Linked DNA regions of Schizosaccharomyces pombe. Changing the gene in region 1 together with any one later gene gives a genetic interaction. Each region holds a gene or a part of one and is shown on either strand. Other genes may lie near its edges. The genes, in order: nrk1, akr1, SPOM_SPAC11E3.12 and sei1.

The links.
Region 2: mutations in nrk1 (region 1) and akr1 together harm fitness less than expected from each alone (positive genetic interaction), as found in Schizosaccharomyces pombe (one large-scale study listed by BioGRID).
Region 3: mutations in nrk1 (region 1) and SPOM_SPAC11E3.12 together harm fitness more than expected from each alone (negative genetic interaction), as found in Schizosaccharomyces pombe (one large-scale study listed by BioGRID).
Region 4: mutations in nrk1 (region 1) and sei1 together harm fitness more than expected from each alone (negative genetic interaction), as found in Schizosaccharomyces pombe (one large-scale study listed by BioGRID).

What each region holds. Positions count from the first base shown.
Region 1 is NC_003423.3:1,441,884-1,448,278, forward strand, and holds nrk1 (nicotinamide riboside kinase), read left to right. Parts: upstream 1-2,681; coding exon 2,682-2,713; exon of another isoform or gene 2,714-2,767; coding exon 2,768-2,792; exon of another isoform or gene 2,793-2,894; coding exon 2,895-2,963; exon of another isoform or gene 2,964-3,015; intron 3,016-3,137; coding exon 3,138-3,504; intron 3,505-3,590; coding exon 3,591-3,790; 3' UTR 3,791-4,048; downstream 4,049-6,395. Other genes in the region: abo2 (ATPase histone chaperone), read right to left, coding at 1-689; Prp19 complex WD repeat protein Prp5, read left to right, coding at 4,229-5,650; rps1002 (40S ribosomal protein eS10), read left to right, coding at 6,125-6,200, 6,249-6,395. UniProt on the Schizosaccharomyces pombe protein: Catalyzes the phosphorylation of nicotinamide riboside (NR) and nicotinic acid riboside (NaR) to form nicotinamide mononucleotide (NMN) and nicotinic acid mononucleotide (NaMN).
Region 2 is NC_003424.3:548,842-556,952, forward strand, and holds akr1 (palmitoyltransferase Akr1), read left to right. Parts: upstream 1-1,926; 5' UTR 1,927-2,169; coding exon 2,170-4,098; 3' UTR 4,099-4,754; downstream 4,755-8,111. Other genes in the region: gep3 (GTPase-like protein), read right to left, coding at 1-1,402; RNA-binding protein Nrd1, read left to right, coding at 7,790-8,111. UniProt on the Schizosaccharomyces pombe protein: Palmitoyltransferase specific for casein kinase 1.
Region 3 is NC_003424.3:5,304,194-5,312,043, reverse strand, and holds SPOM_SPAC11E3.12 (uncharacterized protein), read right to left. Parts: upstream 6,321-7,850; 5' UTR 6,207-6,320; coding exon 6,001-6,206; intron 5,942-6,000; coding exon 5,779-5,941; intron 5,730-5,778; coding exon 5,610-5,729; 3' UTR 4,996-5,609; exon of another isoform or gene 4,980-4,995; coding exon of another isoform or gene 3,447-4,979; 3' UTR 3,358-3,446; downstream 1-3,357. Other genes in the region: 1,3-beta-glucanosyltransferase Gas5, read left to right, coding at 3,447-4,979; syt22 (guanyl-nucleotide exchange factor), read left to right, coding at 6,647-7,850.
Region 4 is NC_003424.3:3,460,986-3,469,889, reverse strand, and holds sei1 (seipin), read left to right. Parts: upstream 1-3,545; 5' UTR 3,546-3,576; coding exon 3,577-3,725; exon of another isoform or gene 3,726-3,845; intron 3,846-3,883; coding exon 3,884-4,348; intron 4,349-4,445; coding exon 4,446-4,581; 3' UTR 4,582-4,824; coding exon of another isoform or gene 4,825-6,145; 3' UTR 6,146-6,191; coding exon of another isoform or gene 6,192-6,631; 3' UTR 6,632-6,762; coding exon of another isoform or gene 6,763-6,825; 3' UTR 6,826-7,218; downstream 7,219-8,904. Other genes in the region: zinc finger protein Cps3 , read left to right, coding at 45-1,693; efm3 (methyltransferase), read right to left, coding at 2,055-2,282, 2,415-3,056; protein Kms1, read right to left, coding at 4,825-6,145, 6,192-6,631, 6,763-6,825.

The DNA.
Region 1 (6,395 bases):
TTTTTTTTAACTGGCAAAATTGGACCTCTCATTTTTCTTTTTCTACGTCCTCTTCTACTTGGAATGGGTGAGCGCACTTTTGTCAAATCATCAGGGCTATCCGCGAAGTCAGAATCACTGGCGTTCGAAGACTCAGGATCACTTTGTCCATCTACGTAGTCTTCATCTAAATAATCACCATTTGTTGATTCTGTTGGAGCTTTTGGATACGAAAAGGTTTTTGAAGAAGTAAGATATGATTTCGGACTTATCAAATCGTCTTCTTCATCCTTAAAGGTAGTGGATTCGTCCTCATTATTATCAGTGTCTAGCTCTTTATCATTTCCTTCCATTTGAAGGTTACTACTTCCATTTCTGATACCATCAATTTGATGTTCAGTACTCTTCTTTCCCAATGATGCATCATTGAATGCCGCAGAAGGCTTTGAAGGATTTTCTATAGAAACAGAAAAAGAAGGCGTTTCTGTGTTTAGATGTTTCTGTAACGAAGAGAATTTTCTATTTCTTTGAGTTTCACGCACTGAAACTAACTTTTGTTTATAGGAGGAAGGATCAAAATGTGAAACTTTTATATGATTTGAATGATCCTCTGATTTTTCGCTGTGTGCGTTGGAGTAATAATCATCATCTTCTTCATTATCTTCATTATCGTCAGAACTAAAACGAATGGATCTGGCCCTTCTGCGCATTGCACGCAAAATGCACTGCTGGCACCAACAAATTAAGACGTTGTCAACTTGGTTAAGACAATTTGTTATGTAGATTTTTTATTTACAATTGCACAATTAAAGGCTCCAAAAAATTTGGGATATCTTAGGTTTTCCACATGCTGGTTTACGAATGGAAGGTTTGTAAGGAAAAGTAAATAAATGAAGTTCGTAACAATGCGTTATAAGAAAAGGAAAGCACATAGTAGAGTAAGTGGATTTTTGGACTAAACAACAGAAGTAGTATCTTTACAAAAACAATATTGTTTAAAAATTGACTTTTCTGAGATTATTTGTCCACGATCAGTTTAGTACATTGGTAATATCCATACATTGATGCATTGTTTACAGACATGTGGATAGATTTGAAATTCTATGAGGATAAAAGTTCATTGCCAACTTCGAATCTTGAGCTTCACTTGACGTTCCTCACTGATATAGTATTTTTTTTTATTTAATTGATTGTCAGTGTTTCGTCGTTTCGCTGTTAATTGAAAGGATGAGAAGAATTTATGCAAAGAGTATTATTTTATAATCTCTTTGAAAACTTACTATTCATAATCCGTAGTTTTACGTCTCATATTAGATTGATATAATGAACAAAGGTAGAGATCGGTACGGCTTTTTTTATTTTTTTATTAAACCAAAAGGTCTTTTAATTTCCTAATTACATTGGCATTCAATACAGATCCATTGAAATTCGATCAATATTGATTTCATTTTTAAAATAGTGTCCTTAAATTTCCTTAATGTTTGAATTCAGTATTTATTATTATTACTAATTCTATTGTTTCATCCAATTTACATGCAATTTATAGCTTTATTATATTTTATTTATTTTTTTATTTTTTTTTTGGAAAAGCAATTGAAGCTAGTCAAATTGGAAAACTGAAGCCAAACACCTAGTGTTAAAAAATTTTATATTTACTAAGTGTAGTACTACAAAAATCGTTTAACAAGGCCTCAAGAAACTCAACCAATATACATATATTTTTTAAATTCATCGAAATATTCGCATTTCATGGAGTTGATAAAAACTTTGCTACCGTAGAACTAAGTAAGTGTAATGTAAACAATAAGCAAAAGACATTAAAACGACTTAAAAAATGAAAATAGCAAACTAATATTATTCAGACATAGTTTATCACAAATTTGAAAGGAAAAAGCAATAATTAATAAAATAATTTTCGCAAAACAATTAAAGAATTCCAATTTCCTACATACTTTGGCTAAATAAATAAAAAAAGTGAACCACTTTTTTTTATCTAATCAAAAAATATATATATTTTAAACAAAAATTGTATTTTTTACTCTTATTATCTACCCTATCTTTTCGTAAAGGATACATGACGGGAGCGGATTAGTATATTGCTATCATCCAAAGCCTTGTATTATTGACTGATTATACTACTAACCATATCTTCATACTACCAACTCCAGCCTTCCTCCTATTTCACTCTTGTTTTAAACGATCAATAACTCAAAACACCATTAATCTTTACCGGGCATATTTGCCATATAAAAATTCTTATACGTATTCGAAAGCGTTAATATTTGGTGAATTTAAATTATCTTTCAAATCCTCCATTTATACCGTAAAGAATTTGTATACTCCTTTCTTTTTCCATTTTCTTATACTTGCGAAATCGTTATAAGTGATCTTTTACTTGTTCTTGTATATCTAAAAGTTTTGTTGGTTGTTATAAAATTTTGTGGATTCGGCTTCTTTACCACATATCTTTTTAAAATTCTCGTTTATTTCCATAACAAATAATCATCGAGCTTGATTTAAGATACTAGGCGCTTTGTTTAAATCCAAATTCTTTTTAAAATTCGGTTAACCTGTCTTACAGCTTTTGGCTGGTAATTAATTAATTGTGTTGTGCAAATATAACAGACCGAATTCCAGTATCCAGCTTCTGTCCAGGCTTCTTGTCTCAATTTTTACCTTCATTTTTCCATATTATCATTAGAATGACTCGGAAAACTATCATTGTTGGGGTTAGGTAAGTTCTACAGGCAATTGTTTTAATGAATTTTTATTAACAAGAAAAAATTAGTGGTGCCTCTTGTAGTGGAAAATCGGTATGATAATTTTGATTAATAAGAAAGAATAAAATAAAATCAAAAACTCCAAAATAAAAAAAAAATGAAGTACTAACCAATTTCTCTTTCTTGTTTTGACAGACTCTATGCCAGCTTTTACATGCCATTTTTGAAGGATCTTCTCTCGTTCATGAAGATGATTTTTACAAGGTTCGTTTAGATTATTTCGTCTATTTGCCTAGTCGTGCGAATTTTGCAAGTGTCATAGAATAAATCGTACCCTCGTTTTAAAAACCGATGGTTGAATCTTATCGATGAAGCAAACACTGTGTTTTTATGTAGTGCCAAAGCACCTATTGATATACTAACTCGTTTGTTTTGTAGACTGATGCTGAGATACCAGTCAAAAACGGCATTGCCGATTGGGATTGCCAAGAGTCGTTGAATTTAGACGCTTTCCTTGAAAATTTGCATTATATCCGTGATCATGGCGTGTTACCTACTCACCTTCGAAATAGGGAAAATAAAAATGTTGCTCCTGAAGCCCTAATAGAATACGCTGATATAATTAAAGAATTCAAGGCACCGGCCATTCCAACTTTGGAACAGCATCTCGTTTTCGTAGACGGATTTATGATGTACGTTAATGAAGACCTTATAAACGCATTTGATATTCGACTGATGCTGGTGACCGATTTTGATACGCTTAAGCGTCGTAGAGAAGCCCGTACTGGTTATATAACGTTGGAAGGTAAGAATTCAACTATCCAGATAAAACATAACACCTGTGTTTAATCGTTGTACCTTTCAGTTAAGGCTAACTCCAAATTGTTCCAGGATTTTGGCAAGACCCCCCACATTATTTCGAAAATTATGTTTGGCCTGGCTATGTACATGGTCATTCCCATTTGTTTGTCAATGGCGATGTGACAGGGAAATTGCTTGATAAGCGTATACAGTTAAGCCCTTCTAGTAAAATGTCTGTGAGAGATAACGTCCAATGGGCCATTAATTCAATTTTGAATGCTTTACAATGATCCGTTTTGATCTATCTTTTCTTCGACTTGTATTTTCTGAGTACTACCTGACTTATACACAAATCCTCTCTACCGCTTCTTTTTTTTCTTTTTAGACAAGACTACCTGTGCATGATTTACTTTTTAAATTCAGGGTTAATTAATTACTTTCCATCATTTCCTCCTCTCCATATATTTATTGCTACTATCGCTTTTAGAACATCATGTTATTAATAATCCGTAACTAGACCGTTTAATAAATGTATATATATTACAAACTTTTATTACTTGATAACCATCCCTTTTTTTATTTTGACAATTCATTTGTAAGCTACTTTATTCTCAAATATTAGTACTTAATATTTCTCGTTCGCTAATGTTCGTGGATTATGATGCTTCAAATAAGTCAGTCCAACTGCCATCTACCTACAAATCCTCTACCAAAAATTTAACAGATTTATGACAGAAGCAAAAAACATATCGGATGATACAGATGTACTTTCTTTGACTACAAATAGTCTTAGAACATCAAAAACTCTTTTTGGAGCCGAGTTTGGGTCAGTTACCAGTTTTGACGATACTGTAGCTCAAAATCTCAAAAGAACATACAAAGAACATTTAGAATATGGTTCTGTTCTTGGAGGAACTGTTGGAAAACGGAAGAACCGACATTACGAAGAAGACACTATTGGTAGTAATGCTTTGACGGTTAGAGCAGACAGTGAAAACCCTTCCTCCCAAGTGATCACCAAGTTTTCAGATCCTAATAAGAAAATAGCAGGGCAGGTTTCCATGCAATCTTTAGAAAAAATTAAAGGAGTTCCTGAAGCAGCACATAGAATTGCCGGAGAATCCCAGGCTTCTCTCGTAAAGCGCACTCTTGCCGAACAGATTCGCCCTGAATGGCATGCTCCATGGACTCTTATGCGTGTTATTAGTGGTCATTTGGGTTGGGTTCGATGCGTAGATGTTGAACCCGGTAATCAATGGTTTTGCACGGGTGCTGGGGACCGCACCATCAAAATATGGGACTTAGCGTCTGGAGTACTTAAGCTAACATTGACTGGGCATATCGCCACTGTGCGAGGATTAGCAGTATCTCCCCGTCATCCATATTTATTTTCCTGTGGTGAAGACAAAATGGTAAAATGCTGGGACCTCGAAACTAATAAAGTGATCCGCCATTATCACGGGCATCTTTCCGGAGTCTATGCCTTAAAACTCCATCCAACACTTGACGTCCTTGTTACCGCTGGTCGTGATGCAGTCGCTCGTGTTTGGGATATGCGCACTCGCCAAAATGTCCATGTTTTATCGGGCCACAAATCCACTGTTGCTTCTTTAGCCGTTCAAGAATTCGATCCTCAAGTAGTCACGGGTTCCATGGATTCTACTATCAGATTATGGGATTTAGCAGCTGGGAAAACCTTGACGACCTTGACACATCACAAAAAAACTGTTCGTGCCCTGTCTTTGCATCCAGATGAATTTACTTTTGCCAGTGGCTCGTCCGACAATATCAAACATTGGAAATTCCCTGAAGGCGCATTTATGGGTAATTTTGAAGGACATAATGCAATCGTTAATACTCTTTCAATAAACTCAGATAATGTTATGTTTTCTGGTGCTGATAATGGAAGCATGTGCTTTTGGGATTGGAAGTCTGGTCACAAATATCAAGAGCTTCAATCTGTTGTTCAACCTGGTTCATTGGATAGCGAAGCTGGAATCTTTGCTAGTTCTTTTGATAAAACCGGTTTGCGTCTAATTACTTGTGAGGCTGATAAAAGCGTAAAGATATACAAACAAGTGGACAATGCCACACCTGAAACACATCCCAATTTGCCATGGACACCATCAAATCTTCGTCGGCGATATTAATAGGGCATCGACTTCCAAGATTAAGATTGAGAGGATAGTTATGATATGTATGTTATTGCTAGATATGAGATTCCAATTTTTGAATCTACTATTTAATGTCATCTTTTGGTAGGCGGTAAACAATGATAAAATATTGGCTTGTTTCTAAATAGTAATTTTCTCATGCTTGATGTTTTGGAGTGCATAAATAAGAAAACTATAGATTATTATTGTTGCTTTCTTAAAGAAAATTTTTTAATCTGTTGTAATGAACTTGTGCTTTATTCCATAGTCATAGATTTGCTTTCCTATTAGCCTTAACGTTTTCAAGGTTCCATTGTTTACTTCTTGGAAAAAGACCCATTAACGGATTGTAACAAAATTCCTTATCTCTTTAAAAGACCATACCCTACCCTAAATGTGCTTTAAAAAAACAGTCACTGTGTAGACCTCAACACAGAAACGACAAGTTGCAGCGTGCAAATTCCTCACAAAATGCTTATTCCCAAGGAGAACCGCAAGGCCATTCATCAAGCTTTGTTCCAACAAGGTGTCCTCGTTGCTAAGAAGGGTAATGTCTAAAAAACGTCGTAGACCAAGGTTTAACTAACAAGCGTAGATTTCAACCTCCCCAAGCACCCCGAAGTTGGTGTCCCCAACTTGCAAGTCATTAAGGCTTGTCAATCCTTGGATTCTCGCGGCTATCTTAAGACCCGCTACAATTGGGGATGGTTTTACTACACCTTGACCAACGAGGGTGTTGAAT
Region 2 (8,111 bases), on another chromosome or scaffold:
GTAGGTTCATAGGACGTGAAGCAGAAAACGAAAGAAAGCCAAAATTGTGAATGACCAGTTCACCACTAGATGTAGGATCGAACACGTTTTCCGATAATTGTGTCGGTTTAATACTTACGGTAAAAGAAGAATGCATCGGCGACGGAGAGTGAGTTACTAAAGGAACATTATCATTTTTCGTAGAATTTTCAAGTGATTGTAATTTTGTTATAGAGGTAATATGAGCGGGAAGTTTTGTAAATAACTTAATCAAAAGAGGTTTCATATTATTGGTATTGCCTTTTGTTTTCTTATTTTTTAAAGTCGAGAACAAAAAGTGTATCGTGGTGCTCGAAGGATCTTCCTTTTTAAACATAATTGGCTTTCCAACTTCATGATTTCCATCTTCATTTATTTCAAAAGGCGTAACACGAACTAGTCCACCTAAAATAATAGACTGACCGAAACGAACACGATACTGAACAGGCTTACTTGTGAGTTGCTTATTTCTAGACCTTGTTTTAGGTACGAGACTTGTCAATAGCTTAGTATCAACCCAGGGTAATAAAGATTTCAAGTTACCACGGTATCCAGGAGTATCAAAAATTAAGCCTTCAGATAATTGCTTAAAACAGGAACCGAAATATTGTGTAGGATACCCTTTTATTGCTTGAGTGGTTCCTGGTAAAAAACTGTCAAGCAAAAGCTCATTAAAAACACCATTTCCCCGTTTAGCCAAAGTTTTTAGCAATGTAGATTTTCCAGAATTTGCTTCGCCTACGACATATACATGACCTCGCGAACATAGCAAGGGATTTATCCTTCCCAAGAGCTTATCAACTAGGTTGAAAGAATGCGATGTGTAAAGCATAGCATACTTTGAAGAAATTCCTAACCCAGGAAACAACCAGTATGGCTTTTTTGGAGGTAATACATCCGCATGCGTAAATAAATGGAAAACTGGGAAATGAGTGTATTGAGTAGCTGAAACAAAATCTTGAAATATAACTTCAGTAACATCTATAACCTGTATTATCAAACAAGTACTTTTATCATTATTCACCGTACTAATGATATCTGGTAGAGTAGTCTGGGGTTCTTGTAACAACTCCTTTGGACGTATGCGAGAATGAAATTTTAAATCATGACATCTTTGGCACCATAATAAATCAGTTCTTCCAATCTCCTTTTCATGAAAAGGAAAACTCGTTGTATTTGGGAAATGCTTTTTTATTTGTGGGTTGAGATTTTTAAAAGCATTATTAAAGATTGCTTGCTCATCGAGATTTTTCTTTAATAAATTAGAAACTGAACCTTTGCTAAAAATGCCACTTAATTTTAGTGGCTTTATATATCCGGTAGCAGACTCGTTCGCGGACTGTAATGTTTGTCCACATCCCCGGCAAAACTTGGTAAAACTCATGGTAGAAATTTAGTTTTATTAAACCCGTTTGGTTTTGTTGTAATAAATCGGCAACAAAAATTTAGAATATCGCTGAAGTAAAGATGTTTAAGGTCTGATAGGATAGAGAAAAAGCTTCAAAAGCTGTTATTATTTACAGAATAAGGTGAATTCGATAAGCTCTAATATTAAGTTAATTGCTTTTGTTAATCATTTCCAAACTCAACATCTATATATTGAAAAGAAAAAGTTCCTTTGTTGGATTTGATATAAGGGAATTTCTCATCTGCTGTGTAACAAACAATGTATTATTTTTAAATGTAATTATCCTGTGCTGGAAGTGGATTGGATTTGAAGCATTTTAAGCCAGCGAAATAGAAAATTTCCGGGGATCAACGTACTAAACACTGGTTTAAGGAAATTTCTTTTTATTTGTATAAAAATAGTAAACGCTCCAAGTATAATTCAGTTTTTGAACACCATTACTGATGGAGTGATAGTATGACAGCAGAATAAAGGTTGCTCGATTCACCACCAATGAATCTGGCGAAAGGCTTGCACCGTACTATAGACACCATTGAACCAGTGTGTCTTTCTACGAGCAAAATTATTATATTTATAATTACTTCTTTTCGTTTTTATTCATGATTGTATGTAATTTTGTACGATTAGGAGTTTGACCACCAGATCTATTCCTATTGTTCTTTCATATTTGCCTGAAATTTGCAACCTCCCGATTTACATTTTGTAACAATTAGTGACCAACAAAATCATTGAACTGCACCTTTATGGGTTCATTATTTTTAGCCGCTAGTCAGGGAGAACTTGACACAGTTAAAAATTTGATATCTTCTGAAAAGATAGATGTTAATGCTACAGATGAAGGTGGAGCAACTGCATTACACTGGGCAGCTCTGAACCAGCAAATTCCAATATGTAAATTTTTGTTAGAACATGGCGCCGATGTGAATGCAATAGGCGGAGATTTACAGGCCGCTCCAATACATTGGGCTGCTAAACGTGGCTCTGTGAAGACTGTTCACTACTTAGTTCAGCATGGTGCGGACCCATTACTCAAAGATAAACAAGGTTTCAATTGTTTGCATTTGGCAGTCCACGCTGCAAGTCCTTTACTAGTAGTATATTTGTTGCATCTCGATATTTCTGTCGATTTACGTGATGATCAGCAGCACACACCTCTGATGTGGGCTTCATACCATGGGAATGAGCCTATAACAAACTGTCTTTTGCGATGGGGTGCAGATGTATTGGCTACAGATGAAGATAAAATGACCCCTTTACATTGGTCCATTGTAGGTGGAAATCTAAAATGCATGAAACTGATTTTAAAAGAGGGAGGCATTCCCTGTACTGCAGTTACCGCTAATTTAAGTGGACAGCTGAAAACCCCTTGGGCTCTAGCGTCAGAACTTCGCGTCTCTCACTTATTTAAACAGGCATTAATTTCAAATGGATTAAAAGTTAAAGAAACCTCTGAAGAACCTGAAAAATGGGTCGTTGTTCCTAGTAAATTTCAATTTTCGCAAAAAACATTTATTATTTTTTGCTTTTTATCGTCCTTTATAATTACTGGCGTCTTTTTTTTTATTATGTCAATTTGCCCAATGGTCATCTCCTTGATAATCGCTCCTTTGTGGATTTACTTTACGTTCAAATATATTACAACATGCATTCATGCGAATATTGACATAGTACATTTCTATCTTGAAACTCCATTCTTGGCTGGCATATTTTCCTCAATTTTCTTCTGGGTATGGTGTCATTCTTTGTTATATATAGTACCTAAGACGTTACCCATAAAACCTCTCTCTTCTCTTTTATTTGTTTTGATTTCATTTACTTGTATTGGATTATATGTTCGTACAGCTTTTCAAAATCCTGGATATGTAGACAAAATTGGTGCCGTCGTTCAACGTCGTGAAGAAATTAGCAAATTATTGGACAAGGATCTTTTTAATCAATCTCATTATTGTTTAAAATGCTTTCAAGTTAAGCCTCCTCGTTCTTATCATTGTGGAGCTTGTAAAAGGTGTATTAATCGTTATGATCACCATTGTCCTTGGACTGGAAATTGCGTAGGGGCACGGAACCATAGAACATTCCTTCTTTTTGTCTTCACATTGTCTACTTTAATTCCTATTTATTTTTACGTTGCATTTTATTATTTACAGAATATCCCCATTCAAAAAAAATACGAGTCGTATAGGTGCCTTTTTATTTCTGGTACCATATGCCAGTGGTCTTTAAAAGACATGTTTGTGTTAGTTGCTTCTCTAACTTTGTTTGTGAATTGGTGTTGGGTAGTTGTTTTAGCTTTTACCCAGATTTGTCAAGTTGCTCACAACGTGACCACAGCCGAATTCCGACTATTTAAACGATATGGAACTCTCGTTCCTCCTACAAAGCAAAATTCATCTCCAAAAAATGGTCACGGAATTCATGGAAGCTTTCTACGTACAGTATGTGGTATCCTGGGATTGGATCAGTGTATATTGTTAATTAGAGAATCAAATTGCTTTGTGAGATGTTTCCCATCGAGAGCTGAGTTAGGTTCCCAAAATTCTACCTCTTTGTCTCGTAATCTTTCCACAGTCAATCCATATGATGAGGGTAGCATAATTAAGAACTGTAAGACATTTTGGAAGCAAAACTTTCTTAACGATGGTCGGCAAGATGAGGCAACAAGACATGTTTAAATTGTTGTCGATTAAAAATTTAATTATAAACATTAAGAATGGAACGTTAGAATGCCTGATAACGTTAAAAAGTTATCACTTCATCATTTAATTTTAATCCCTCCACGGATCATCGTTGCGGGAGTGTTGAGTTAAGTTAGACTAGAATATTCGCGATTCACTCTGAATCTCATTAAATGCTAGCTATGTCACGTATCGTGAAATCCTTGATTTGTAGAACGGCTCGTTTCTTATTCCAAGGTCGTTGGACCCTGTTGCAACGTGAGGGAGGATGAGATTGAAACAAGTAAAGGTTTACTTGAACTTCAAGTTTTCTTGTGTGCGTGTGAACTGATGAAACCTGGCGTCTTGCTATTAATTTTTGCAATGAAAAGATTTTTGTTTCATTTTTGCTATGTAGAGATTGGCTATATATGGCTAGATCATAATTTTTGCAGAAAATTGGGCTTTAGGATTGTTTAATCCAACAAAAAATATCAATCTTTTATAGCGGCTCAAGTGTTCTTGTTATCTTTATGAGATACGCTTTTGTTATTTAGAAACGTGTATAGGTCTCTAGTTTTTCTTTTCTTTTCTAGTGTAAGAAATGGGTAATGGAGGATTCACGAATACATTACAATAAGACTATATTAGTAAAATAGAATACAGTTAAGTGGAAAAGATTACAGAAGAAACCAAGTCATTAGTAGTTCGTTGAAGATATCGCAATGTAGTTTGAAACCTAATATCTGCTTCTTTACGTGTTCTAATTACTTTAATATTAATTAATAAAACAAATTGTATTGCTTTTTTTTATGAATAAGGACAATTAGTGCTAAACATTAAGTATACAACCAAAATTTTTACGTAAACTGACAAAATTTACAAACAATTTAAGTAGAGTGTTATGAACGAGCATATGCCTTTTTTCTACTTTATGGCATTTGTTTCTCTGCTAACCCGAGTTTCTAAAAAAAAAAACGAAAGCCGATGATCACGGTGAATCAAATGACTAAACGCCTTGGCCGGTAAATATGTAAATCTCCGTAGCAACCTTTACGCCTTGACAATCGTTAGTTTGCAGAGTTGAAGAAAAGTCGATATGTTTAGGTCAATAGCTACCGAGTCTACTTTTCTACGCTACAGCGGCATTGAAGTTAGCAGAAGACTCAATTTTGCAGGAGACTATTTAGCTATCTGATCAGTCAGTGTAATAATTAGAGAGCGCTTTCGCTCACCCTTCTTGGCGGCCACCATAAAGCGACTCACAGCGAAATTGTGTATAGAGATTAAGCAACAGCGGAATATTTTGATAAATACAAATTAGATAGTCAATGAATTACTAAGCTGAATAGAATGAAAAAGAAAGAAAAATCCAAAGTGAAAATTGACAGTTACTGAGCTTGTCTACGCCCCCTAAATTTCACGCGGAAAATATTCCTCTACCGTGCAAGGCGGAGACTTTTGAACAATGTGTTAGCTTAGGATTTAAGTCACATCTTAGCAAAGCGTTCAGGGAAGAAGACATACGGTCAAAGTTATCATTTTTGTGTGATTTTCATTATTTATTGTTGCACGAGATAATTTAAATTTTCATGCAGAAGATTTATTTTTTTTTTTGGAATTTATTCTGCTCGGCCAACATTCTTGATTATTCTTGTTTACATTTTTTTATGAGCGGCTTATCGTTAGATATCACTTGTCACTTGGCACTACATGCTTTTTTCTATGAATTATTCCTTTGATATCGACTAATCATCTGAAATAGCGAGGCGAGATTTCGACAGAAGCTTTACCCCCATAAAAATTTTCGTTGTGTTTATACAAAGTGGAAGATGATTACATGTCTGCATTTGTATCAAGTTAGTCTAACTATTTGCTTGAGTCCCACGCTGCTTAGCACACAATCACATACGTACGTGGGCGAAATTGTGTGAAACTCTCGGGGAGCCACTTCGGCTGCTTATTTATTTACTTTTATTTACAACGCGGCGTTGATGGAAAAATTCTAAAACAGTGTGTGAAAACTTGGTTTGCGCGTGCTTGTTAGTGGGCCATTCTAATATATGTCTATACTGGCATATATTTACTTTATTTTACCACTATTACTATTTAACTCATTGCCGCAATCCATACAAGTGCATTCTTTTTTGTTTGTTTTCGTTGCCATGCTCGTTGTCAAGTGTTTACATTCGATTGTGCACTCGCGCTCTGTCGTTGAAGGAACATCCAGAATTAATGTTACCTTGGGCGGCATATTCACATGTTGGTGTACGCTGGATAATCGTTAATGGCATGTAGCTTGTTTCTCTCTATAAGCACGCAGTAATATTAGTGCAGTAACGAAAAGCCGTTAACGTGCTCACTACCAAATACTCAACCACACGAATAGCCGCTGGCTATATCTAATATTCTTTCTCTTTTCATTTCTTTTTTCTCAAAAACATATTTCTTTCTCTACCATTTGCATTTATATGAGTGTATTACTTTGAAGCTTTGATTTTTTTTGTTTCGCGGTATACTTATTGATTATTCGCTAATACTGGTACTTGTTTCTCTTATTTTTTTTCTGTTTCTCCTTTATTTGCTTTTTAAGCAACCTTTTAAATCTACCTGTGAAATAAATATCATCGCCTTTTTTCATTTTCTTTTTTCATTTCCACATTCTTTTCTCTTCTTACTCCTCTGTGATACTATATTTTGGGTCGTTAGAACGCATTGACTTCAATCTACTTTCTCTTCCCTGCATTTTTACCAAGCCTTCCGAATATATTTATTCCAGTTTTTCTATATTCTTTTTTTTTATTTTTTTTACTTCCATTGTACTCCTCATAATCATTATTATCTTGGAAATTTAACTTTCCCTTTTCATTTTTTTCTTCTCTAAAACTCCTTCTTTCACTGTCGACCATACTGTTGACTTTTCTCCTCTTCTTTTATAAGATAAAATACACTTCTACGCGTCTTTAGAATTCTTTGATTGATTATTCTTTCGTACTACTTTGAATTGTATACTTTGCTTTTTTGGTCATACTCTTGTTCATTTCACTTTGTTTTATTCTCCATCAATTTCTTGGAGTAAGTCTAATACTCTTGTTCGGTATCTTTACTTAGTAAGCTTAATTTTTTAAAAAATTAAAAAAAAAAAAATTTTTACCATTGTTAGGCTCATATTCCTTTCCACATCATTCAAGATTTTGTTGAGGTTGTTGTGATCTGCTTGTTTCATTCGCATTTTTTCCTTCCATTTATTCGCTTTGCCTACGTGCCTCTCAGTCTAAGTTTCCTTATTCAGTTTGGGAATTACGAGTTTTCTTATTTTTAGAATTAAAAAATACGTTGGACGTTGACAGTTTTCTTTTGGCTAAGATTTTCCGTTGCTATTAATTATTGTCTTTCTCGTCTAATTGAGTTTTTTAAACAGACTTGTTGTTAGCTTTAAGCGATATTGTTTAACTATTCATTTATTACCCGCTTGGATTTTTATCGTTAAACGCATCATAAGTTGCCTCCTAAGTTCGTGAGCTTTATTGGTCCGATTTTGGTTTTCGATATATTTCAAAGTGATATAAATTGTAAGATATACCCCTTTATTATTTGTTACCAAACGTCACTCTCGTTGATTTCTTTATTTTACATTTCTTCCTTTGTCAATCAAGCAGCTGTGCTCTTAGTATAATTCTTTCTTTAACAGTTATTGATTTCGGTCATTATGTCTTCTAGCAGTCCCTCTAGTCAGTCCCGTCTTTCTGTCCCTGGAAGAACTCCACATTTACCACCACTTACTATCCCTCATACTGTAAGTGCTGAAGGTCTCGCTACACCAAACACACCGCATGCTCTACTCCCTACCGGGCTTCTTATGGGGAGTCCTTTTGTTCAAAGCCCAACGAGCTATACTTCCATGCATGGCTTGCCCTTTAGCACTACCCAAATGGCAGCGGCTCCCGCTCATCCCACGACTGGCTATAATGTTTCACGTGTTACCAGTCCTAATGTTGCTAACTTTGCCCCGGGTTACTTTCCACTTCCGA
Region 3 (7,850 bases), on another chromosome or scaffold:
AATCAAAACAACGGATGATTTGAAGAAGTAATAAAAAAATTTTTGAAAAGAATTGTTGCTAAAAGCAAGATAGTTATAATAAATAAACAAATGATGAAAGATTAAACAGAAACAACCGCTATGAAAAATAAAACGAGACAAATGAAGAAAAGAGGTTTTTTCAGAAAAAATAATGTAAGGTAATAGAAAAGGGAGAATTGCGATGATATTCAAAAGAAAACAAAAACATCAACAATGAGAGAACTCGTCACAAAGTAATATCAAAAATAATAACAATAAAGTTAAACTACAAATTGACTTGTCGACGATTTGAAATTTAAGGAAGATTACCACTCAAGTCTCTACAGTCTCCGAGCAAACCACCGATCAACGTACCTGGTAGGCAATTCAAGAGATTACGAATTGATTTGAATCCAAACAAAAATGTAATAAAAACAAAAAAATAAATAGCAGGAAAAAATGAAATTATGATTCAAACAATACCTCCAATTCAACCAAAACCTCTTTGTGGAAAGATTAAATACTCGAGTTCCAGTTGATGGAAAAGGTTGACGGATTAAATGCGGAATAAGCTCGGCCCTTTGGTATATATATGTGCAAACGAGCTATAACGTACCAAACAAACTGGGAAAGAAAAAAAAAATTTCTTTTACTTTTTGTTGCTTTTTAAAAAGAAATTGTATATAGTACAGTTTTTGTGTAGTATTTTTAAGATGGAAATTTTTCACTCAATTCAAGAATGTAGTTGGGCTTCTATATAGTTTCTCCTTTGGCTGTTTACATATACATAGCCAAAACAAAGTCTTATGTCATAGTTAGCTTCGGTAATGAGTATGGTTGGAAAATTCCCTTATCCGATTACACTCTCGCTGGCTAACCATTATAGCAAAGCGTAACGAAATCTAGCGTACCTTGAAATGTATAGAATGGAGTTAGGTAAAGAAAGCATTTGGAGAACCCAAAACACACAGCTAAATATGTTAATTGGAGACAATTGTTTTTTATTCCCAAACACAGTTTTTATTAACCTTGAAGTTAACATAGATTTGTAGTCAGCTTGAGAACGGATGCAAGAACTCATTTGATATGTTCAAGTCAATGCAAGCGAATATGAATGATTTTGAGTCACATGGGTGATTGATAGATAGTGTGTATTCGGAGTCGGTTGCATTGTTAATTCCTACAAATTACTCTTTCCAAATGCCGCCCCCTTTTCATCTTTCTTTTCTTCTTATTTAATTATCTTCCATCTTCTTCCTCTTGTATTTGCTACCCAATAACACTATTACCTAGCAATTGTTTACGTCTGCATTTTTACTAAGCATTCCTTTGCTACACGTAATAATATACATTTATAAGATTTAGCCGCCCAAGGTAAAGGATGTAAGGATGTGAAAACCGGTAGCGTAGAGCAAAAGGAGGATATGGTGGAATTGCAGCAAAATATCGCTTGACCTTGTATGAAGTAGAAAAAAAGTTAAAATAAGAAGATAATCATTTTGGGCAAAATTCAATGTATTTGTAAAAATTATAATAAAAGTCGAAGAGGCGAAAAGAGGAAATATGTACAAAGGAATTTGGATAAAGACGCAGTAGAAGTAGATGGAAATTGGTTCCTTAGTTTTGTAAGTTTAATTTCTTTGTTTGAGAATTTCGACAAAGAAAAGCTATTTCGGAGGGAAATTTTCTTTTTCTTTTGCTTTTTCGGATCTTTGTTACAACACATTTAATTTCTTCATCAGGGTGAAACTTTGCGTCACTGCGATTCCTACGTTTTGCGCTTTAAAAATTAATTTTCTTGCCGACCGCTTTCACAAACCTCAGAGACGGCAGATAGTAAAGCGCACAGAAACTCTTAGTAGAGAAGAGAATGGGGCGTAAAAAGCCAGTCAGTAGATAATTAAAAGAAAGAAAGGAAGCAGTAGGAAAACATTCAACGGAGTGGTATGATAAAGGAAGAGTAATAAGACAAAAAAAAGAGGAATTGATCATAAAAACATCTGGTTTCTTAAAAAGGATTGGCTACAGGCATTATGCAACTAGTTACTGGTATTTAGACGATTAGTCCTAAACAAACGGAGACAGAAATGAGCATAGCCATTATTTATGCAACACCTCATTATTTATGCAATACCGCCGAAAAATATAGAAACGCACAAATCAAAAGAAGCGAAAGAAATCCAAAAGCTCTAGCAAAGTGAGCGTTTGTTGTCAAGATGTAAACCAAGTCTTATGCTACCGCATTCTAAGTTCTTCCTATATAATCTATAGAGGGTGGAAGTACCAACATAGTTCATTGAAGTTGTTTTTGAGCAACATTCTGACTGCAACTCATAACATACATCGCCAAAACATTTTTTTTTTCTTTGCATTTGCAGCTCGATTAAAACATTCTATTATCCTTGCTTGTTTCTTGGCACATGTGAACTATGAGTGACACCGTTCTTTGTTTATTAATTTGTCATTGGTCGACCATCAAATGAGTGCTTTGTCGAAGTTTGCCAAAAAAAAAGCTTTAAAAGATGGTTTTGATTTCTTCCTTTAACTTCCCTTCTATTTTGTCTTTTCCTTTAATTACCCTAGAATAATCATAGATGCAATTGCAATGTTCTACCGCTTCTTTCTCGAAAATGCGTTGAATGAACCAGAATTGGAACGGTTCGTTGAACCATTCATTTTCGACGTCTTTTTTCAATGTAGCCGCTTCTTCTTTTCTTCTTTACTCTATATGCTTTCGTATATTTCCGTCTTCTTTGCATTTCCCTACATGTTTGTATAAATAGTCACACTTCCATGTTTGTTTACATGACACGTATTGTTTGTTTACGATCCACTGTAACTACCAATTATATCCTATCAAATGAGTTACCTCTCGTCTCCACTTTCTCCATCGCTTGTTACTACATGTTTCTTCAAGTCACAGTTGCTGTTGCTTGTCTCGTAAAAAACCGGTCACACCGCTACCATATATAGTGGGATAGCTTATTCATTACAAATCAGAGCAATATCCAATTCATCTGCATTCTTTATAAAGGATCTTGTGCACGTTCGCTACATCATAAGAAGCCATTCTTTTTCTTAATCGTGAAGAACGCGTTCTTTTTTCATAAGAATTATTTCTTTTCTTATTTGGTAGATACTTTCATCTTTCCATTTAATTTTATTCCATTTTTTTCATTTTCCATTTCTCTCTTCATTTTTTTTATTTTTTTCATTTTTCATCATTTTCAACATTTTTTCGTAAATATTGGCATTCCTTTCATTTTCATTTCATATTCCCATTTTTCTCTTTTTCATTTCTACTATCATTTTTAACGAGTAACTTGCTTTTCTCTCTTTACTTTTAACTGAAAGTATCGATCCATTCATTTCTCTTTTTTTTGCTATCTTTTTATTCAAAATAACCCTCGTTCGTTTTTTTTCCTCGAACTGAACCTATATCTGCTATGAACTTCCTCCATTTTTTAACCACTTCTCTTTTACTTTTGGGAGGTTCTCGTCTAGCCTTGGCTGACTCTGCCTCTTCCGCTATCAAAATCAAGGGAAACGCCTTTTTCAATAGTGATACTAATGAGCGTTTTTACGTCCGTGGTGTTGATTACCAACCAGGCGGCTCATCCACTCTAGTGGATCCTCTTGCTGATACTAGTATTTGCAAACGTGATCTTCCTTATCTCCAAGGTTTGAACATTAACACCATTCGTGTATACCAGGTCGATAATTCTGCTAATCACGACGAGTGCATGAGTGCTCTTCAAGATGCAGGTATATATGTTATCCTTGATTTGGCTACTTCTTCTAACTCTATTTCTCGTTTGGATGCAGCATCAAGTTATAATGCTGTTTTCTTACAAGGTATCTTTGCTACCATCGATGCTTTCAAGAACTACACAAATGTTTTGGGCTTCTTTGCTGGCAATGAAGTTGCAAACACTGCCGAAAATTCCGCTACTACCACTTGGGTCAAGGCAGCTCTTCGCGATGCTAAAGAATACATCTCAAAGAATTCAGACCGCGATATTCCTGTCGGCTATTCCGCTGCGGACGTAGCTGAGATCCGTGTACAATGCGCCGATTTCTTTGCTTGTGGTAACTCTTCTGTACGTGCTGACTTTTATGGTATGAACATGTATGAATGGTGTGGTGCCGATTCTAGCTTTACCATCTCCGGCTACGATCAGCGTATGGAGGAATTTGCAAACTACTCTATTCCATTGTTTTTGTCTGAATATGGTTGTAACGATGTTACTAAGGAATCCGATGGTACTCCTGATCGTCCTTTCGACGAGGTCGATGCTATTTTCTCTAGCGAAATGTCTTCTGTATTCTCTGGCGGACTCGTCTATCAGTATTCTGAAGAGGGCAATAACTATGGATTAGTTGTTATTGATGGCGATAATGTTACAATTAGCAAGAACTATGAAACCTTAAAGGAAAAGTACGCTTCCGCTGCTAACTATACTGGAGACGGTGATTATTCTTCAAGTCCCGCTACCCTCACTTGTCCTGCTGACGATTCTTATTTTACTAGTTTCCCTCTTCCTACCATGCCTTCTGAAGCCAAAGGTTTCATTGAGTCGGGTGCTGGACAACCCCTTGGCTTCAATGCCCCCAGCAACCAAGAGTTTAGTGCCAATGCTACTGCTTTAGTATCTCCTGGTCCTCACAGTGTCTCCACTACCATCAACACAAACATTGTTCAAGCCACTATTAGCCAGTCCTCTACCTCAGGTTCCAGCTCCGGATCCTCTTCAGCGTCAACCACAGCCTCATCCTCTTCCGTATCCTCCGGATCTTCCATATCTTCTGGCTCTTCAAGTATGAGTACAAGTTATACATCTGCTAGTGGTAGCTCTGCTCATAGCAGTGGATCTAGTTCTGGAAGCTCCTCGGCTACTTCTTCCGCTTCTACTTTTAACCTTTCTCGCTTTTACGTCTTTGCTGGTATACTGGCAATTAGCGGACTTGTTTTTGCTTAATGATTATTTTTCATACCACTCGCTTTCATTTTTCGTAAATTTTTTCAAGTTTGCTGATTCGAAATTTTTTTTTACATTTCATTTTTTTTCAATCGCTCATCTTTCATCATTAGCTTTATTCTCTCATCTTTAGCTTATTTTCATTTGGCTCATTCGCATTCCATTTTGTGCCTTTTTTAAATTTTGATCTTTTTTCATACGTATCCATTAGCATCATCATTTAGATTGCTCATATATTACATTTGCATTATCGACTAACATCGTCGTGTAGTTATTAATTAATAGCCAACTTTGGTAGAGGGGCTTGTGCTCTTGATCTTAAAAAAGATTAATGCTGATTTCTGTAGCTGTGTTGATTAAAGTGTTTCGCGTAATCATAATTAACAACGTGTGTAACAATGATGGATGAAAAATACTTCTCAAGTTCATTATTGATATATTCGAAACAAAACAGATTTTGTGAAGTGATTTTCGTTTGTAAAATGTCCCCATGTTTTCTCGTTGATATACTTTTCTTTCATAAGCTACCTAATTTGTTTGAACAATCTAACGCCAAAACTTCGTAAACCAAATCCTTTTACATCATAATAATAGGTACAGACTTGGTCATTTTCATTTTATGTCTTCATCCTAATTTTTCTTTTGGGTCAATGCTTCCATTATGTCTACTAACTTTTCCTTAGTATTCACTCCATAAATCTTGTCATTAATCCACATAGCTGGTCCTTGAAAACAGTTTCCCAAACACCCCTAAAAGCAATAGAAATTAGTACATCGTTAATTGCTATAGAATATTTACCGTATTCTCGACATCAAAGCCATATTTGGTCGCTACAGACCGACATTGGCTATCCCAATTGGAATTGCCTTGCTCCTCAGCAGCTTGTTGGCACATCCAAGAATTGCAAATACGAACACGCGGTTTTTTAGGCCTCCAGAAAAAATCATTAGGGTATGCCAAACTACATTTGGTTAGAAACAAAGTAAAGCACAATCATTATGTGTTATTTACTTAACATACATTAACGAATGCACATAATCAATTGATACGCCTGCTAGAGAAGCAATTTCATACATTGCTGTCGGAGGAATCCAAGTCCCATGCTGTCGTTGCGCAAGATCTAATAATGGTACCAAAGCAGCACTTTGGAAGCGTAGAGGATATCTAGCAAGTATAGCCTTTGCAAGCTGAAGATTCTCTGGTTTAAAAAAACGTATTGGTTTCATCGTTGTTAGAACCAAACAATCATCGATAATCGTAGTGTAGAAATATCATTAAAATGAGAAAGAAAAAAAAATGTTAGTGTTTAATTAATTATTTTTTAGTATTTAGGAATGGCTAAATTTGAAACGGTATTTTGGGGATGAGGAGCAGCGTTGCTTTTGCTTATCCCGTTAACACCTGGGGTTGACTACTCCAGGATTTAAGTTCGTTTCTCTCAAACAGAGAAGACTTTTTTGAATAATTAGGCATATATTATCTTTTTTGCTTTTGTAAATTGCAGGTTTATCGAAGATATTCCCTGACTTGAATCAAGTCTAATCTGCACGTTCTTTTAATATTCACTATCTTTTAACTGCTTATTCATTCTTTATTTTTTTTTCAGCCCCATTAGTAAAATCTCTCTGCAGTTGCTCGGTGCATGCTATACTTTTAGGCTAATGCCATGAGCAGAAACGCTTCCAATGCGTACCTTAAAAATGGGAATTCCACTCCGTCGAATGACAAAAGGAGCCCTTCTTCTCTTTCACAAAGGTCAAAAACTTCAACTCGTTCTTCAAAACCATTTTTACAGCGTCTTTTTCCTTCCACTTGGTTCAAAAACGAATCATCGAGTCGTCACCCTCTGACTTCTATCAAAGAAAATGATACTCAGACAATTGGGAGAAGGCCTTCAATGCGTGTAAAATTGTTTGGTAAAGATAAATCGAAGGCTTCTATGTCAACCAATGATTTGCCTAGTCATCCTCGCTCTCAATCTGTAATGGGATTCTCTTCTTCTACTTCTCAATTAACTGGGACCAGCAATTCTAGCAGGACTCGCTTAAATAAAGATATGAGACGAGATTTTGGTATGACATCTATGTCTAGTATCACTTCTTCTACTCCTACTCCATCGCAATTACCTGTTAGACCCTCAACTTCACTTTCATTTTTTGATGATATCCCCTTAGGACCTTCTTTTAGTGCTGAAACTATACTTTCCAGTTTAAGTATCTCGACTTCTAATAATGCTATGTCTAAGACTACTCCTGCACCACCTTTAGTAACCACAAAATCAATTTCTGCTGACCAAGATGATTTTTATACTTGTAAGGAGGAAGTATCTACTTATGAAGGTTTGAATAGTCAAATTGAACTTTCACCAGTAAAATCTAGAGATTCACAAAACAAATCCGCTAAAAATCTCAGCACTGCGTATCGTACTGTCAGTGGGGAATCTCGTAATTTAATGGTGGACCCGAAAGTTAGTCCTTATGGAAATTCCAGAACTCCTTTGAGAGATTCGTCTAATTATTTGAGAGATAGGAGAAGTATTAATCGTCAATCTAGTCTTTCTATTCCTAAAAGTACATCAGAAACTACGAGAAAAACCTTAGCTCTTTCCAACGGAGGAATTGATCAATCTAGGGTATCATCAGATTCTTTCAAAGTTGACGATAGTTCAGCCAAAATGGCTGCCATCGATATTTGGGAAGGTTCACAACATATCGTCTCAAATGATAAAGCGTTATCGTGGCTTGTCACAGATAAACCATACAACAAAGCTGTTTTGAAACACTACATTTCACTTTACGATTTTGAAAATACAGACATTCTTCAATCATTGAGAATGATTTGTGGAAATTTATACGTGCATGGTGAAACCC
Region 4 (8,904 bases), on another chromosome or scaffold:
GACGACGATCACGGAGAGTTGAGCAGATTCACTAACAAAGTTAGGTTTACAACACGTTCCTTGTAAGTTCTTTAGGCAAGGAACTTGTACAAGTGGAAAAAACTGTATATTTAGTCACGATTTAGAATTGGCGACAGAGAAAACTATTTGTAAATACTTCCAAAAAGGAAACTGTAAATTTGGTTCTAAATGCGCGTTGGAACATGTTTTACCTGATGGAAGAAAAGTAAAGACAAGAGCCTTTGCCCCATCTACTACAGCTATGGGCTCAAGCTCTCAAAACATATCTGCTGCTCCTATGGCTAACATCATTTCCAACAATGACAAAATATTGCCAATGACTACTATGGCATCAGCCACAGCTTCAGAAGAAAAAAATCGAATAAAAGATGAAGCTTTAGTAATTAAAAAGGAAGAATCCAACGTAGCTATTCCATCGGAGGTGACTGTTGCTGCCAATGCGTTCTCCGCTTCTACAGAAGACGTATATTCTATTGTGGGGGATAGTCTCTCAAAGAAAGCATCTGTTAAGGATTTCAGTGATGTGACTGGCATAGAAACCATTCCTGCCTATGTTGAGGCAACTAATGGAAGTTCCACGGTACGTTCACCACATGCAAAGCGTAGCCTCAGCTCCATATCTGTTAAAAGCTCTACTTCTCCATTTTCTGGAAGCAAATTTCTATCTAGTTCTTCCTATCCGCATACGCCAGAGGCACATCTTAACTCCAATCACATCTCACCCGCCTCATTTGGCAGCGGAATCAGAACGAGAAACATATTCAATCCAGAATCTATGTCTCTTGGTTTGAAACCCCCAATACTAAATCGCTCTTACAGTGCATCTATGGCTCCGGGATTTTCTATGAATACCTTTACCGCAACCGGTAATCTTGGACGTCCTACCAAAAGCCCTTCGGTACCAACAAGCGTCGGAAGTAATAAGAGTAGGAAGTTTCCAGGAATAAATGGTAGTACGCTTACTGCTACTCCTAGTTCGCTTGAGAACCTTTATCCACTATCAAGTCGTCGGAGCGTTCCCAATCTTATATCTTCCCTCGGTACTAGTCCCTCGACGTTTTCATCACAGTTCCTTAAAAGTACTGACCGAACTCATTCTTTCACCTCGAAACTTCAAAGTTTTAATCCTGTGGGGACATCTTTACTGGCTTCTTCCTTGGGAACTTCACAAGAGGACTCTGTAAATTATGACATTCCTGACGAGTTCGCTAATGAGGAAGATTTCATTCCCAACAGTTTGCAAGAACTCTTGACTCCAGAGGAGTTGGAACGAAAAATGAGCCATGGTGATGAAGCAGTAAGTTCTTCCTCAGCTTCAAGATTTATGTCAAAGGTTTCTTCAAACCTGAATAGTGGGAATCCTACACCCTACAATTCTTATAATGGAACACCCACCTCCAGTAGGTTTGTTGCATTTTTTGATCGTCATCGACAAGAATCTGAGAAAGCTACTCCTCCTTCACTTAACAAGGTTTCCCAGGAACCGCTTACAGCAACTACACCTAAAAATTTAGGAAATTTGACTGCAATATCTGAAACTTTAGAAAACGGACAAACCCTGAAGTCTAACATGGCCTCTTCTATTGAAAAATCAAAAACTTCAACAGAAGTAGTGGCTTCTTACGATACAACTTTGGATGAAGAGACTCAATTCCAAATGGATGAAGCTTAGCATATGCCCTATATCGTTAGTGGCTATTTCGATTTAATAATGTGGCTAAACAAAAAAAATTTAGCTTCACAAAAAGGTGATTATTTTCGTGTTTCACCACTTATTTATTATATTTGTGCTTTTAATGGAGATACCAAAGGTTGCGAGCTTTATCTATGATTGTCACTGCTAGTTAGTATTGGTAATAAAAGTAGTGATAGCTGTTATTTACATTGAAACTGCAAGTATAGTTAACTTGGTGACAATACTAACGACCCATAAAATACTGATGAGATTTTAAGAACTCCATTTTATTAAACCAGTAGAGTTTAAAATAGTAGAAAATTTGTCAGCATTGAAACCGTCTAGACATTCATTTTGTTTATTTAGAGACTTCATAAAAGACGATGGGTGGACTATCATAGTAAAGTATTTTGGGAGAATCCCACACCTCCAGCTGTCGAGCATAGAGGTTTTGGATGAGCTTCAAAAAGTTAAAAAATGTCTCTTGTCGTCGAAGACTAGCGCTAAGGATAATTTTACAATTTGGATTTATTGTTATAATTTGTGTTAGGGTAGTAGCCAAGCACCTTAAATCACAATCGTAAGTCTATAACATACTGCATAATAATTAGTACGCATCAAAGAATGCACTAATTATTAAACAATAAGTTTCCGTTAGCAGTTTAACCTTAACACGACTTTTCAATTTCCTATTTATAGTTCAAGATTCTTGACTTACCACGTCGGATGCAAAAACAATATCTGAGAATTCTGGTGGATCTACTCCCCATAGTAACTTTTTAACATTTATATCACAATTGTTTAGTCGAGCGTTCTCTCGCACACCATCACACACTTTTGTATCACCGTCTGTAGCCAAGACGATGGACCCCATTTTTGCACATAGTATACTAACAAGACCTGTACCAGCTCCTAGCTCTAGTACCCTCATTCCTGATTGAACGGGATGTTGATATATGTATTCGGCGAGAGCCATTCCTGCTTCCCATGTACGAGCTCCAGTGGTTCCTTCGCGCAAAAGAACATGCCGGGATTCCCGTATTAAAATATCATACTCTCCTAAAGAATATTGTACAGGAGGTATATACGTGCTGGAGAGAGATTCGATATAAGTGTACAGCAGTGCCTCGTTTCGTTCATTATGGCCGCTGTCAATAGAGTCTAAAAATCGAAAATATGATTTTAAAAAAGCCCTGGTGTATGCCGAGGGTGTCACTATTTCCGAAAGAAACACTTGTGCATAGTCATTAAAGAGAATAGGCCAGTCAGTTGGCTTGCTTACCCATTGAAAGCGATATAAGTCAACTTGCTGAAGATATTGCTGTTTCACTTTTGTTAAGAACTCGGGGGCACCATGCATACTCCCTGTGATGCCTATGATAATTAATTGCCAGCAAGAATATCGGTTACAAAAATAACTCACTAAATGACAGTTAGCAATGCATTGTTATACTTTTCTCCACAGTATTTTCAATATATTTCTCAAGCATATACAAAATGGATTTAGGGAAATGATAGAATGTACGAATGAAGCAAGAACCCTGCTTGAAAATTTATTTTTTGTTCACCCATTACTATATCTCGATGAAAATAGTGTAAAACTCACAATTTCTTCGAATACAATATTACACTTTGACAGCAGCTTTAACGCGTGGGTTAGTCTGTAATTGGCAGTGGAATAGTTAACTGTTTTGTAACTTCATAACATACCCACCAAGTAATCCACCACCATGTCGTTGAGCTTTCACTGGTAACATTTTTGGTGGTGAGTTTACCCGACCAGCCGCGGATAAAGCCGCGGTGGTAAATCATTACACCAAAACTTGGGTTAGAGATCAAGGATTCATTCAAGTAGTGTTATCCATACGAAAGCCCTAAGCATGGGTTATTTAGTTAAATTATTCAAGTTAGTAGTATGGATGTTGGTAATAGGACTATTTTCCATACCAAGTTTAGTAAGCTATGTCATATTCTACGATACCGTGATTCCTCATTCTGTAATTCAATATCCAGTTTATTTCAATTATACGTATGTTTGAAAATTTATATACGGAAAAGGTTTGAAGAGCGCATGTAGAAATGAATCGTAGCGGTGGAACTTTTAAGCTGCGTTCTGATTTCTCTATGTCTCTTTCTGTTTCGTGCATTTGTTAAGCAATTAGAATCCATGCTGACATACTTTAATAGAACGGGTCTCAACTTTCCAACTGCAGAGGTCAGATTGGACCATTTCTCAATTGATCCTAGGTTACCTGGCACATCTTTGCTTCAAATCAAAATGCCGCATTCTCCTCGAAATAGTGCTATGGGCAATTTTATGGTTTCTGTCGATTTTCAAGATAGAAATCAAAGATCTCTGAAGCAGGTTAAACGAACAGTCTTGCTTCCTCATAGGTCTCCTATTCACGAATACCTTAAGCTAATTGTATGTTCACCTCTTTACTTCATGGGGATTTTGGAAGAAACAGATATTGTCAATGTCCGTTTGTTCGAATCTGAAACATTTGCTAAAAGTTTTAATTCAATTACAACACTTTCCGTTAGATTTTCTGTCAAAAATACTCCAGCTCAAGCTATTGTCAAAATTTATTCTAAAGATATTGAATTTTACGAAGCGACTCTAGCTTTTGCATCAAAATTGCACGGCATGCGGTAAGTTTTACTTTTTGATTTACCTTCTTCATTTTTTTTACTTTACTCAATTTCTTTACCTGTTATACTTTTTCACAAACTAACTTGTCCTTACTAGCTGGTTCATGTATACGCATAAGGTTTCCGCATTTCTCGTTTTCACATCTTTATTTTGGTTTACGGGGATAACCTCAACGATAATTACCTATCTTATTGTCTCTTCCACATCTGAAACAAAAGCAACAAGACGTTGAATCTTCTCACATCTTCACTTGCATCTAAAATCATAATCGTCACAACCATAAAAATACATTATTATTAAATTAGAAAGTTCCATTATTGCTTTATCCGTTAGACCCATTATTCAGCTGCACCTTTATGTACAAAAAGTTGAAAAAGGGTAAAGCAATTTAAATCAGCACTGATTTTTTTTTTAGAAAAAAAAAATCTTTCGCTAGCATCTTCATTTTCGTCATTATTTATTAGTCGCCTAATTATCAAGAAGGCTGTACCAGTTCATACCGTCCATAAAGGAGTATAATTATATGTTCGCAAAATGTAAATACAACACGCAAAAAAGCTTGCAATAGCTCGGCGCACAATATGTAATCAAGTCCGTAAAAACAGGCAAAAAGAAAAAGGACGTAAAAAAGTCGCAAAATGTTGGATTTCATAACCGATAAAAGAAGCAAAGGTTGTCCTTTCGTTGCTAGAAAATGGGGGTTGTCTGCATTAACAGTATCTTGAGACGCCATAAAATCTTTAGAGGAGTTATTCATTGTTGTATTAGTTGCCATGAGTCCTGTTTCATCGTCACTAAAGCTCGAAAGAACTGTGCATTCGTGGCTTGATTCTTCATATGTTGGCATAGAGGAATCGTACCGACGACAAAAGTCGTTTAGGGTTGGAGACATTTTGGAAAGGCTTTGAATAATCCATTTTTGGATACCAATTTCCTCTGAAAGCATCAAAAATCCAGCAACCAATTCTTTGTTTCGCGAACTTTCAGCAGTAAGAGAGCTTTGCAATGATTGACTTATGTGTTTGCATTCTTCTATCGTTTTCTTTTGTTGTTTACATTTAAATTCCAATTCTCTTAATTCTTCACTTTCCCGCATTCCAACCGCAGGAATAGAAATGCAAACTGATGGTTGAGTGAAAGAAAGGCCAACCTCTTTGGAGTAAACCATTTCGTCAAGGTTAGAGGGTGATAAAAATTCATCTCCTTTTGGGTTATTAGACAAAGCAATTAAATGTTTTTCTCTAGTAAGATCATCTATGTGGTTGTTTAGCTGATTATTAGAATTTTTTAATTCATGGTTCTCTAAAGCAAGCCGACGAATAGTATTCTCATTTTCACTTGACCGAGATGCAGCCAAGCTTAATTCCTCAATTTTCTTAGTCTGATCTGTAAACTTACGCAAGAGAGTGGCATACCGAACTTGCAAGGCTGAAAGCTCTTTTTTTGTGGAGTAGAGGCCAGAGTTTGTCTGTATGAGTTCTGACTGAATTTTCTGAAAGTTTTTGTGAATGTTTAGATTTTGAGCCTTAAGAGTCTTAATTTGGTTATTTTGCGAATTATTGGCTACCTTAGATTCATTATATTTGGAATCTGCCATATTTAGTTGGTGGGTAAGTTCATTCACTTTTCCTTCTAAAATATCTACAGTACGAGATTTCTTTCTAGCTTGATCTCGAGCTTTATCTAACATATCCTGGAGTTCTGTGATTTGCTTGATTAGATCATGGTGCCCGTTGGAAAAATCAGGTTTATCCTTCCTAACAAGTGGCATCTCAGTATTTCTGGACGACGTATTTCTTCTTGTTAGAATTTTAATGACTTTTCTAAAAAAAAAATTCTTACCTATTTAGTGGTGTAGATTGGGCAAATGGAGTTCGAAGAATATTGACAAAATCACTGTCGGTAAATTGAGACATCGGCGGCAAGGACAGTCTCTTAGACATCATTTGAGAAGGGTTTAAGGATTCAGGAGAGGCATTAGAAGATGATTTTGAATGTGCAGAATTGACAGAGTGTTCATTTGCATCCTCTTTGATAGAATTTTTGGAATTCTGTTGCTCCATCGAAGGCTTTTCAGCTTGATTCGCAAAAGAGTCATCTTCGTTTTCAGTAAGTTTTTTATATACGTCTCGAAAATTATCCTTTGTAATAGAGAGATCTGCATTTTGCCGTACGAATTCGAGTGTACATTGTTTTTGGAATTCGCTCAAAAGAGGTGGTGCAGAAGCGGGATGTAAGAGTTGTAGGTCATTGATGATTGGCAAAAAGTTGGAAAGATGAACCTAAGAAAATTTTTTGTTAATAGTTTATCCTATTGGTAATTGGGTAAAGCGAGAAAAACCAGAGTCTTGAGAGTTTGTCTCTGACTCAATAAACAAGATCTACCTGCATAAGCAATCAATTTTTTTCATACTTTTCCTTCATGTTTAAAGTCATATGAATCGAAAATCAAGTCAAAATCGCGTTCATTTAGCATTTTGGAAAGGGAACTGGCAATTATAATTATACAGGAAACGAACCACAATTCTAGTGGGAATGGGATTCAGTTTTGAATTTTTTTGTTAGAATTTATCATAAAGCTGCGTGCATTTCATAACAGTTCACGAATTCACCGCATTTCTTAAGTGTTGTGAGTTGGGTTTCGTGCAAGGTCTATCCAAGGGTTTGGCAGTAGGGCTGTTGAGCAAGTGGTTTGAGAGACCAAAAAGAAGTACACAGAAAAAGACGGATTAAAATAAAACTTGAAAATAGATAAAAAGATGTTAGAAGAAATCATGTTTATGCTTGATTTAAGAGCAGCTAGAAAAGTAAGGCCACAACTTGGTCGTACTGTGCATACTTAAGTGATAATTCAAATGAAATCGCAAATTAAAAAAAAAAAAAAAAAAAATTATTTTTAGTGAAGTAGAAACTATTCGTATTTGTTTTATAGATCGATCGATTCCTCTGAGAACTTCAAGCGAATTTGCAGTAATTTAGAACGCCAGCATTTATAATTGCGGGTCAAACAACGATCGCCCAAGAATCTTTCATAGACTCCAAATAAGATTGGTTGATTACTTAACTTATATTTTGATCCTTGAATCGTTTTAGTCAATCAACGTCGTATATATTGTACTTTTTAAAAAATACAAGGTTTTGATCGTAAAAAAAGAAATGCATAGAAAAGGTCAGATTTTTTCATCCAAGAATGTGCAATAAATACAGAAATTACTTCTTTTTCTTTCAATTTAGCCAACTCTTTCGAAAACGTCTTCTATTTACATTTTCTATATAGCTACTACTCAGTCAAAACAGTTGGTTAGCATGTTACTTTATGAGAAGCGAGCGATGTGACGTCAAAGGTTTTTTGGCGAAATTAACACTGTCCATATGTATATGTGTTTGAGCGTGTAAAACCTGGTTTCTGCCATTTACATATTTTGAAACCTCTGTACGCTAGTTTAGTTATTTCTCGTATCATTTTATTTTTAACTGGTGCAAGAGACAAGAAAATTCATTTACTTTCGTGAAGATTTGAAAAATTCGTTTGTCAGCTTAGAATTCTTTGCTAGCAGCATTATTTGTACATTTTCAATTGGACCTCTCTTAGCTTTCAAATTTTATTAAATCTTCTTTGTTTTCTTTCTCTTTTGTACGAAGTGATCATCGAAAAGATAGAGAACATCGGGGTTTCCATTTATGGGCGATAATGTATTTTTAGAGCCTGATCCATGGGCATCTAGCAGTAATTGGGGTTCACCAGTGAAGCCTTTAAATTATAAAACAGCAATTGGTTAGTAAAAGTTTTGTTCTTCTGTTTTTTCCTTCTCAATTAATAGTTAATTTTACGGATCGATGCATTCTATCATTGATTTGTTTCTTTAGCTTGATTTTTTTTTTTTTCATCTTTCTTGCTTTTTTACTTACTTACTGTAATGATGCTAACCTTTTTCTTTTTCTTTTTTTTGTCTATAGGTAATTCATCCATTCCTTTGCAATATCGAAATTATTGGGACGTGTTTCAAGCAAACAATGTTCTCTTATTTCCAGAAGAAGAAAGTTATTCTGATATATTTCATGTTCCTCAAGATGTAATGAAAGAGTTCTTTACCTTGATTGAATCATCAAGCAATCAACCCTTACGGCAAATTCAGTTTTTCGTTTTGCTTGCCTTGGTTGCCTGTTATCAATTAGGTGTTCCTAGCACATTGGAACAGATTTTCAAGCAAAGAAATGGTAAGGCTTTTTTTTATCTTTGCTTTTTTTTGTCTTTTTGCTTACTTCCTCCTCCTTAGTCCTGCCCATTTTGCAGCGTTTTAATCCGGAACTTTTCAATCGTAGTTCTGATAATGAAACCCCTCTTTTTCCTAATAATTCTCCTCCTGCTTCAACAACCGCCTTGAATCTTTCATCCAACATTGTCCCTTCCATTAATGAATCAAAAATTTTAGAACAAGAGGATGACGACGTCTCCAATAAATCCCTCCCTCACGCTCAGCAAAGCATCATCCGTTCGTTTCCTGATATTCAAAAGCAGCCGAAAGGATTCTTTTCCTATCCTTCTTCAACTGTC